Drosophila melanogaster: one gene and its partner. The protein of the gene in region 1 purifies or fractionates together with the protein of each later gene. This does not show direct contact. Each region holds a gene or a part of one and is shown on either strand. Other genes may lie near its edges.

Evidence for each region.
Region 2: the proteins of Hil (region 1) and pnut purify together in Drosophila melanogaster (affinity purification with western blotting; one study listed by BioGRID). This does not show direct contact.

The regions. Positions count from the first base shown.
Region 1 is NT_033778.4:20,615,049-20,619,914, reverse strand, and holds the start of Hil (hillarin), read left to right. Parts: upstream 1-1,697; 5' UTR 1,698-1,848; intron 1,849-4,866. Other genes in the region: CG9945 (uncharacterized protein), read right to left, coding at 1-435, 488-634, 695-959, 1,027-1,206. UniProt on the Drosophila melanogaster protein: May act as a modulator of septin function during cytokinesis in the developing nervous system.
Region 2 is NT_033778.4:8,235,592-8,241,102, forward strand, and holds pnut (peanut), read left to right. Parts: upstream 1-1,679; 5' UTR 1,680-2,465; coding exon 2,466-4,085; 3' UTR 4,086-4,706; downstream 4,707-5,511. UniProt on the Drosophila melanogaster protein: Involved in cytokinesis and possibly cellularization. Also acts as an enhancer of the sina gene, thus having a role in photoreceptor development. May be involved in p53-dependent apoptosis.

The DNA of each region.
Region 1 (4,866 bases):
TTTTGATGCTTTGGTCTTTGGAGTTGGACAGCACGTGGTAGCCGTCGTTGCGCGAATCGATGTAGGTGATGCCATCGTAGTGGCCGATGAAGGATGCCACAGACTTGGACAGGTCCCGTGAACGGAAGGTGGTGCGCAGGTCGTAGACCTTTAGCAGGCCGTCGTCACAGCCGGCGATTATCACATTTGGATCCTTATCGTGTAGGAAGCACACCGAGTTAACATCCTTGCCGGGCATGCGGTGGGTGCGCAGGATCTGTGTGTTTCTTGTGCGAATGTCGGTCACGATGACCGTGGAATTGTTGCTGCCCCCGATGATTTTGTCGCCTGTTGGCGAATAGCGCAGCGAGAAGATGGCCAACCTATGGCTTGGCAGTCCATTGACATCGATCCACTGGCAGTCGTCTTCCCCCCCATTCACGGGCATGATGAACACTGAAGGGGAAAACAACTTAGTGTGGATAAACAGATTGGGCGGAGTACCTACATGAGCGGGACCAGGTGCTGTAGGCGAAGTGCTCGCCATTCGGACTAAAATCCGCATCGATGATGCTCCACTCAACATCGCGGGCTCGGATGCGATTCAGCAGGTGATAAGTGCCCTTGGCGCCATCGTAAATGCGCACAAAGCCATCTGGAAGGGGTCAAAATCGTGTTTTAATGCCAATCGGAAGCGTTAATCATGAATGCTGACCTTGACAAGCGGTCAGCAACTTGCTGCCCGAACGATTGAACTTGGTCACAAATATTTTGGATTCCAGCGACATCAGGCGTGTGGCCTTTTTGTTTGGTATGTAAAGATTGGATATGTAGCGCTGCTGGTTCTTGGAGAACGATGCGCTGTGCGGCGATGCCAACCCATTCTCACGCTGCTGAAGGGCGTGCACCAGGTTCCAGCGATTGTTCGGATTGCTCACTAATCCACTCGACGCCTGGATCTCCTTGTACATATCAGTTTTCTGGAAGATTGCGTGGGCAATAAATTACTATTAATTGTTATCTGGGGACGGGGTATTTCGTCATTACCTGAAATTTAACTAGATCGGGCTTGCCTCGTATAACTGGCATCTCGCTGCTGCAATAATCGGAGCGCAGATCCATGGCGTTCACCGTAAAGTTGATCACGTTGAAGCCCAGCTCGTTGTCCGAAGAATCAAAATCGTCGTCTTCATCGCTATTCATCTGTATAGCCAATTGGTTCCCCATAACTTTTTGCGTTTTCCCTTTTGCACTCTTTTGTTATTAATTTCAACCTATCGTTTCTTCGATAATTGTTGCAGCCAGTGAGACCGCAGGTGAAGAGCCTGAAAATACCACGATGTTCAAGTTCAAACGTTGAACACCTATCGATCTATCGCAGCAGATTACGAACAAAAAATTGTAAAACCTTTCTATATAAATATTTATATAAATTAAAACTATTAAAAATGCTAAGCTGAAATGATAGTTATAGCAAGGAAGTGTAGCCGAGGGCTTTATAAAAAAAAACAAATGAAATTATAGATTTTCCAACGGGGACCAGAGTAAAATATTTTTAACGATTACTGGAACTCCTAGGCTGATCCGTGGACGGCTATCGATAGTAGTGGTGGGCACGCGCAGTTGCCTTTGCGAAGCGAGCTTTTTGGAGCTATGTAAAAGCTTTACCCCCAACAAAGCTCGACTCAGAGCGGATTCCATTCCGCGAATAGCAAAGCAACTAGTCTCAAATCGATCGTGATCGCGCTCGAGCCGAACGGAAAAGAAACGGATCGAAAAGAAAAGCGGCTCGAAACCTGTGCTAGTGTGAGTGAACGCGTCCGTGTGTGTCGTCGTGCTGTGCTGATTGTGTATGAGTGGTTGTGTTTGGTAATGAAATTTTGTTACATTCCCAATATTCGAAACCTGCTGTTCGGAGAAGAGACTTTTGGAGGCACAACAAATAATGCCGAAAATGTGATAAAGCGCAGAATTGGAATTCCGGATTCATGGACCTTGCGAACTGAACAATCTGCTCTCCCCTTTTTCTATGCCTGTGTGTGTGTATGCAATATGTGTGCTTGGATCTCGCTGGGGCTATCGCTCTGTGTGTGTGTGTTTGTGTGTCGGTGTGCGCCTGCGTGTGTGTAAAATTTATGATAAATACTTTTGCACAAAGCGCGCCCCTTTGCAACCAGAAGAAGAAAGTTGTTTAGCATATATGCGTAAAAGTAATAGAAATACACATAAACGGCAAAGAAGTGTGTCAAAAAGGGCCTAGAATAAGCACTCCATGTATCGCGTGTGTATAATCTAGGCGAAAATAACAAAAATAATAGCGATGCTGGGGAAATAATCTACGGAAAAACTGGAACAACCGACGCCGCGGCTGCAGACACGAAAAAAAAGTGAAAGATTGCAGGCTGACGTTTGAAGTCGAAGCTGGGCCTGCGTCACGGCATAAACACACACATAAACCAATACAAACGCAAATAGACGGGGTGGGTGGTTGAGGCGACACCACCTGTCATGGGCGCTGGTTGCACCCGCCCTCCATCCCTTTTAACTACACGGGTTTCGTATGTGGCTTCCAATTATTGTGGCTTGCTCATAAATTATTTTCGGTGTTTGTGCTTCTAATTTATTGCCAGCGAAATGGGCGATTTCTAAAAGCAATTCATTGTTCCATTCAATTAGCGACTTTGAAATTGGCACAGCAAAGCAAGTACCTTGATTTTTTCAAATTTGCCCAACCAATTCTCACACTTTTCAAGAACAGTTAAACGTTTTTGACAAGTACTTTTGTATACTTTAAATAGTTCGCCTAAAAGTAAAGCGAAATGGGAAAACAGTTTGAATTTTATAATGTTTATTAATTTAACAATTATTTAAGTTCATCACATTGAAATTATCTGCCTTTATTTCCATAATCTAAAAAGGGGAATCATTGCCCTGTTCGACTTGTTAGTTATTCACATTAGTGCCATTGTCACATTTTAAGTTTATATTTCTCCCCTCATATCGCTACTCTGCAGTGACGCAATCATTTGCATCTTATTTTAATTCCTATGATTGTTTCACTGCCAGGCGGAATAACCAGTTGCTTTTTGTCTTGTTGTTTGCTGCTTGGCTGTTGTTTCTTTGCATTTATCAAATCTTTGTATCTGGCTTTAATGTGATTAGCGGTGGCAATTATGCCAATTCAAGTTCATTATACTTGTGTTGCTGCTGCAGCAGTTTACTGTTATTATTGGTATTTATTTAATTGTCATTGTTAGCGTTTCGTTAAGCAATGCCAGCGATAAGGGAAACGACAAAAACAACAGCAGAGATACCACATCGAAACGAAAGACTTAGGCAACGAACTTGTTCGCCCGATGCAAATGCTTCCGAGTGCTTATCAATTTATTTAAATGTCTCGATTGCAAACAATTGCCCGCGCAGAGCAACTTTCGTTTTTGTGACTGCTTCTCGCGTTTGTCATTTTATTTTGTATGTTTATATTCCATTCGCATGGCATTTCATCCGCATTGAGGTGGAAAAGAAACCCAAAGCTGGCACGGAGCACAGGCATGTGTGCGAAATTATATGCGGCATCTCGGGTTACCTGCAGTCCATAGCTTCTTAGTCACACCCAAGTGGCCATGGTGGCATGATGGGATGATGGAACGATATTGTGATAGGTGATGTAAGTCGCACGAGGCGTTTTGTCAAAGCCGCCCCATCCAATTTGCAGGGTCTTCGCGGCTATCCACGTATTCATGTCCATTACAATTATAATTACACGCTAATTATGTCAGCCGCTAAGCGTAATTGGACCATTCAATCACACCGATTATGATCGCATCAACAGATCAAACTGCCATTTTTGTCGCTCTCGATGTGGGCGTTGTTGATTGATATTCGAATCGATGCGGGGGCTATGGCCAAAGAGCTAGACGAGATTGTGGACAGGTTAGTCATCGATGGAGCTTATGGTCTTTAAGGGCACAAATCTCCCGCTCGTCTTGATTCACACATCAATTTGTTGCCTCACATTCGATGTGGTCGATCAAAAGGCAGACCTCAAAAGCGGAATAAATTTTTATTCACAGCCAATCAAAATAATTTGGTGTTACAAAATGTCTTGGCGGCCTTCGCCGCATTTGCATTGGCGTTTTCCCCTTTTCCATTTCAATTTCTTACCATTTTCCATTAGTGCTGCAGCTGCAATGTGGCATGCAATCCACAGATCAGCAACCTTCGATGCCGCAACTGGCGCTAATCATAAGGCCTTGCCACCACCCATTCCCCAACCGATCCCCAACCACCCACCATTCATCGCCCGGACTCAACGTTCATTAAACTTGAAAAGAAAGCAAAACGATGACTTTGAGTTCGACTGCGGCTTTTGGCTTTGTCTGCGCAACTGAGCCGCATTTGTTTTAATTTTGGTCAGAGCAACAGACGCCGCAACAACAATGATTTCAATTAAAGTAACATGCACTTGCTCGCACACACTTACCTTCACACAGTCTGCTTTTCCACTTCAATTTAATTGTTGTAGCTAGACAAAAACCGAAAGGAAACCTGCCAGTAACAATCGCGTCAATTAATCAAATGGAAAATGCAACTTTTGTGCCGCTGCCAGGCGGCAGTTGCAAGTTGCACGAGCCAGTTGTACGACGAATGCAGCAACTCAAGTTCAATTGTGGCACGTTTGGAGCAATCTCAAGCTCGACTTCCCAAGCGAGGTCAATGGCAAGGCGAAACGGATTTAACCCTTTGCCGCTGAGAAACGCCAAAACTCTTGTCCACCGTGTCCAGTTAATTAAGATTCATTAATAATCTGCCCATAGCCAAAATAAATGAAAGTTTTGGCTCGCATCATGACAAACGCCTGCGCAGAATCAAAATTTTTGTTTTTTG
Region 2 (5,511 bases), about 12 Mb from region 1:
CACTAAACTGTCCTTGCTCTCGTGCCAAGAATTGGCACAGCTGCCGACTCCATTCTCCCGGCTGCATCCCCCGCCACTTCTTCGAGCCACGAGAACAATGGACTTGGCCCGGACAATGGTCGGCGCTAAGAAATAGTGACTTTTCAGGGGCGCACGGGTTTTCCTCTGGCTTCTAGCGGGCCCTAATTGCTGGCAAGCATCTTACATAATATTGAAGAAGATGCGTCTCCGAATGGATTTCGTATGGAGTGTGCCTGATGCGAAACAGCTGCTCAAGATCTCAAAACTATGAACACGAGGAAGGGTTGCGGGGAGATTAGGTGGGATTTGTTCGCTGTAAAGATTTGCGGTTGCAGTTGCGGTGGCACATTTCAAGACCTAACATCTGTCGTAAAAAACATCTAGTTTCGAAGCCCCCAGCCAAAAATGAAATGTATTTAGCATTGATGAATACGATAATAGAAAATCAACTTTTTAGTGCTATAAAAAAGTAGTGCTATAAAAAAGTACGAAAGTACATACGCGTATGTTTTTAATCGTTAAAGATGCACCCAAAAAAGCAATATAAAATTAGTTTAAGGAAGCTAAAGTAAATATACATATAAATAGACTTAATGAATAAAATCGACTTTCTCCTTATATTTTGGGTTAATCAAATGGTTTCGGATGGTCATAAATGTTAAATGTATTAATAAAGCTTAAAATAAAGTTTGATAAAGAATGAAAAAGAATTCATTAAATAACTTTTTAGAACAAAAAATATGTATTGAGATCATAAAATGCAATCGACAATCAAATTAGTAAGAATAACAAGAAACAAGGGGATCTCTAGCCACAAAATTCCACAGAACTTCCCTCGATTTACCTTTTCCCTTGACGACAACAACTGTAAATCCTCCAATAAGTACAGTCATCCCCTAGGGTAAAAATCGAGCCACCGCGAGTCATATCAATTCATAAATGCATATTAATTCCGATAGAGGCTAAAATTAAAACAGGAGTCGCTTTGGAATAATGTGAGAAAAAAACTTTCTCACGATCACCTTGTTGTCGCGCAGACGGCGTTTGGTGGAAATCCACGTGCAAAAGGGGGAAGTTCGGAAGCAAGGAAGGCTGGATGGTAGGAAGGAAGGAAACCACCACCACCAAGCAGGCGGAGTAGGACGCAGGACCCTCTTAATGGTGGTGGTTAGTACCTCCCTCTCCCCCTCCCCCTCTACCAGTGACGATCGCCAGAAGTGCATGAGAATTTAAATTACAAACAAACCGAAACGCAGAGCGCACAATCAACGGGCTTTGTCCGTGTGCGTGTATGCATCGGCATGCGATGACGCGTAGAGGGTGGGGTAGAGAGGGTGCCAGGACGAGGCGTGTGTGGGAACTTTCGACGAGGACACTCGAGCATGAAGCGGGTCAAACGACAGAGGCCAGTTATTATCCAGCTCCTTTTTATGGCACTTCTCACACGCCCACAAGGGGCGTTAGTTAGCTCACTAACCTCTTTCCAAACAGAGTCGAATGGAATTATAGCAAGTGTGAGAGAGAAGCGAAAGTCGAGTTCTCAGCGTCACAATAACAACACCCACGCGACAGAAGCATCTTTAGTTCTCAGCGAGAGAGATAAGCTCAGCTTCCTCTTCTTCTTTCTCTGCTCCTTCTGCTGCTCTCACGGGCATGCGCAACATTGCAACAAAAATTAAAGGGAACCCGTAACCACAAAAGTCATGGGCGTAGTGAACAATTTTATTTAAAAACCCGTTATGGTGTACCATAGAAATTAATTCCCTATAAAAATGGACAAACATAAACTGAAAATGTTTTAAAATAAATATAGTTCGATATGTAGTCAAAAAACCCCTCAGTAATCCACCCCTGCTTAAGGCAAAAGTCAAAGTCATCTAGACGGATAATTTCTTCCTGTGCATCAGCGGGCGATTGTAATGCGATCCGTGGCCACTCCAGTGCAGTCATTCAGGCCAGAAATCTGGAATCCCAAGTGCTGGGACACATGAATGCGTTTCATTGCCTATTTTTAAACATAACATTCCATTTCAAGTGATAAGGCCACCAGAAAATAGTTCTCTTTGCCCGTTTGCATGTGCATTGCTGCGGCAGTATGGGTGCGTGTATCTCTGTGTGTATGTGTCGCATTACTCATGCGCTCTCACTCCAAGCGTCGTTTGGTATATTCGCGGCTCTCGTCCGGTATTTTCCAGGGTCACACTGCGCCTGAGCTGGGGCGTTGTTGTTGCCTGCGAGAGCGGAGCAGAAGTATTTATCGCGTTGCAGCGCACGGTCCTACTGACACAGAAAATGCAAGAAAAGTAAGAGCGTAAAAGAGCTGGCGTAGGCGTGACAAAAGCGGTGAAAAAGCAACGGTTCTGTGCAAGCAAAGTGAATAAATACAGTGAAGCCCACCTGCGAACGAATATCGAAGGCTCAAAGGCGAATTTGGCGCTATTCCAATGAATAGTCCTCGCTCGAACGCGGTTAATGGCGGCAGCGGCGGCGCCATCTCCGCTCTGCCCAGCACTCTGGCCCAACTGGCTCTGCGCGACAAGCAGCAGGCTGCGTCGGCATCGGCGTCCTCTGCCACGAACGGCAGCAGCGGCAGCGAGTCCTTGGTGGGCGTCGGTGGACGACCGCCCAATCAGCCGCCCAGTGTGCCAGTGGCCGCCAGTGGCAAGCTGGACACCAGCGGCGGAGGCGCCTCCAACGGCGACTCGAACAAACTGACCCACGATCTGCAGGAGAAGGAGCACCAGCAGGCGCAGAAGCCACAGAAGCCACCGCTCCCGGTGCGCCAGAAGCCCATGGAGATCGCCGGCTATGTGGGCTTCGCCAACCTGCCCAATCAGGTCTATCGCAAGGCCGTCAAGCGGGGATTCGAGTTCACTCTGATGGTGGTGGGCGCCAGTGGGCTGGGCAAGTCGACGCTGATCAACTCCATGTTCCTGTCGGACATCTACAACGCGGAACAGTATCCGGGCCCCTCGCTGCGCAAAAAGAAGACCGTGGCCGTGGAGGCCACCAAAGTAATGCTCAAGGAGAACGGCGTCAATCTGACACTCACGGTGGTGGACACACCCGGATTCGGTGATGCCGTTGACAACAGCAACTGCTGGGTGCCCATACTGGAGTACGTGGATAGCAAGTACGAGGAGTACCTGACAGCCGAGTCGCGGGTGTACCGAAAAACCATTTCGGACAGCCGGGTGCACTGCTGCCTCTACTTCATAGCGCCATCGGGACACGGACTCCTGCCGCTGGACATTGCCTGCATGCAGAGCCTGTCGGACAAGGTAAATCTGGTGCCGGTGATCGCCAAGGCGGACACCATGACGCCCGACGAGGTGCATCTATTTAAGAAGCAGATCCTTAACGAGATCGCCCAGCACAAGATCAAGATCTACGACTTCCCCGCCACGCTGGAGGATGCGGCCGAGGAGGCCAAAACCACGCAGAATTTGCGCAGCCGAGTGCCATTCGCGGTGGTGGGTGCCAACACCATCATCGAGCAGGACGGAAAGAAGGTCCGGGGTAGGCGTTATCCCTGGGGCCTGGTGGAGGTGGAGAACCTGACGCATTGCGACTTTATAGCGCTGCGCAACATGGTCATACGCACGCACCTTCAGGACCTCAAGGACGTGACGAACAACGTCCACTACGAGAACTACCGCTGCCGGAAGCTATCCGAGCTGGGATTGGTGGACGGCAAGGCCAGGCTGTCCAACAAGAACCCACTCACCCAGATGGAGGAGGAAAAGCGGGAGCACGAGCAGAAGATGAAGAAGATGGAGGCCGAGATGGAGCAGGTGTTTGACATGAAGGTCAAGGAGAAGATGCAGAAGCTCAGGGACTCGGAGCTGGAGCTGGCGCGGCGCCACGAGGAGCGCAAGAAGGCGCTGGAGCTGCAGATCCGGGAGCTGGAGGAGAAGAGACGCGAGTTCGAGCGCGAGAAGAAGGAGTGGGAGGATGTCAACCACGTGACGCTCGAGGAGCTCAAGCGACGCAGCCTGGGGGCCAACAGCAGCACGGACAATGTGGATGGCAAGAAGGAGAAGAAAAAGAAGGGTCTGTTCTAAGTCAACACGCTCAAAACCCCCATTCCCCAAACCCCCTTCCGCTCCTCGTATACTTAAGCGCTAATCTCGAGAACAAAGCAAATGAAAACCCTAGCGTATCCTACTCTTATTCCTACCACATAAAGTAATTCGAAAAGTGCATAAATATATCTATTGTTGGGCCCAGCCGCCCCACAAGGCTTCTATTCGCACAGCAATCGTCCAGCGACGGCGTTGCATTTGTTTTCTACATACTATACAAGTACATATAACACATAGCAGTTGCAGTATTTTACCAATATATATCCACGCATTACTTGACGAAACACATTTGCTAGCCTAATGAATTGAACACGCAAACGAATTAAATCGAGACAGTAACAAACGGTATTTGCAAAATACTTAAGTATCTTAAAGCCTAATCATAATAAAAACTAAGCAGAATGTACGAGTGCGAGGCGAAATTGATCCTAAAATTAATTATAACGAATAACGAATCCATGTATAACGTATGCTATTGATATTGTAATTGTATTTTACCTATTATGCATAAAGTCATTGAACACCCGAACACACACCAGCAAGGCAAAAGCCGCAAGCGCAGCAGAAAACATCAAGAAACAAAATATACTCTTGCATTTTATAAAATAAAGTCTTCTCCTTAGTTTAACTACATAAAAGCTGAAAAGCATTCCATATTAAATTCGTTGTTTACTCAACTGCAGCGGAACGGGTCCGCTTGGCACACGTCTGGGTATGATAGGCATGACGATGGATATGGCGATTTGGATATGACGATTACATTCTCAATATCTTAGTTAACCATGAGCTAATGGATGAGTCATTCCGCAGGAGCATTGACTGGGAACGTGGCTCGAGTCAAGCGGATAGGTAAATCACTCGCCGCAAACAATTAAAAGTGTTTACCTCTCACACTGCTATGTATGTATGTATGTATGTGTGATGCTTATTGGACCAGTGAAAACTAACGCGAACCGTTGGTGCCACCTAAAAGTATCATGCTTTTCGTTTCCTAAGAAATACCCTTTATGCAGTTCTTGCCCATATGTGCGACTCAAGCAATTACGAAAAGCCTGACACTCCCTATAAGTCAGTACATGTACATATACAATCTTTCGCCTTATGCGGCCACAATTTAGGTCAGAATAATAGATATTCATCGCAGTTGGTAGCAATGAGCTTTATTTTGCAAAAATCAAGATAATATCAGATAAGATAAGCTGACTTGCGTGATGTACATATGTATGTACATAAATATTGGATCAGTTTAGTCATATCGCAATACCATTTCTTCTAGGAAGTACATGATCTCGTTTGTCTGATAGCTAACCAGATGTTATCAAGACTAACTACTAGTTTCTTGGCCGATATTGTTTCCACATGAAATTACTGCATTTTTGCTGGTTCTCCCCACTTGAAATTGCTT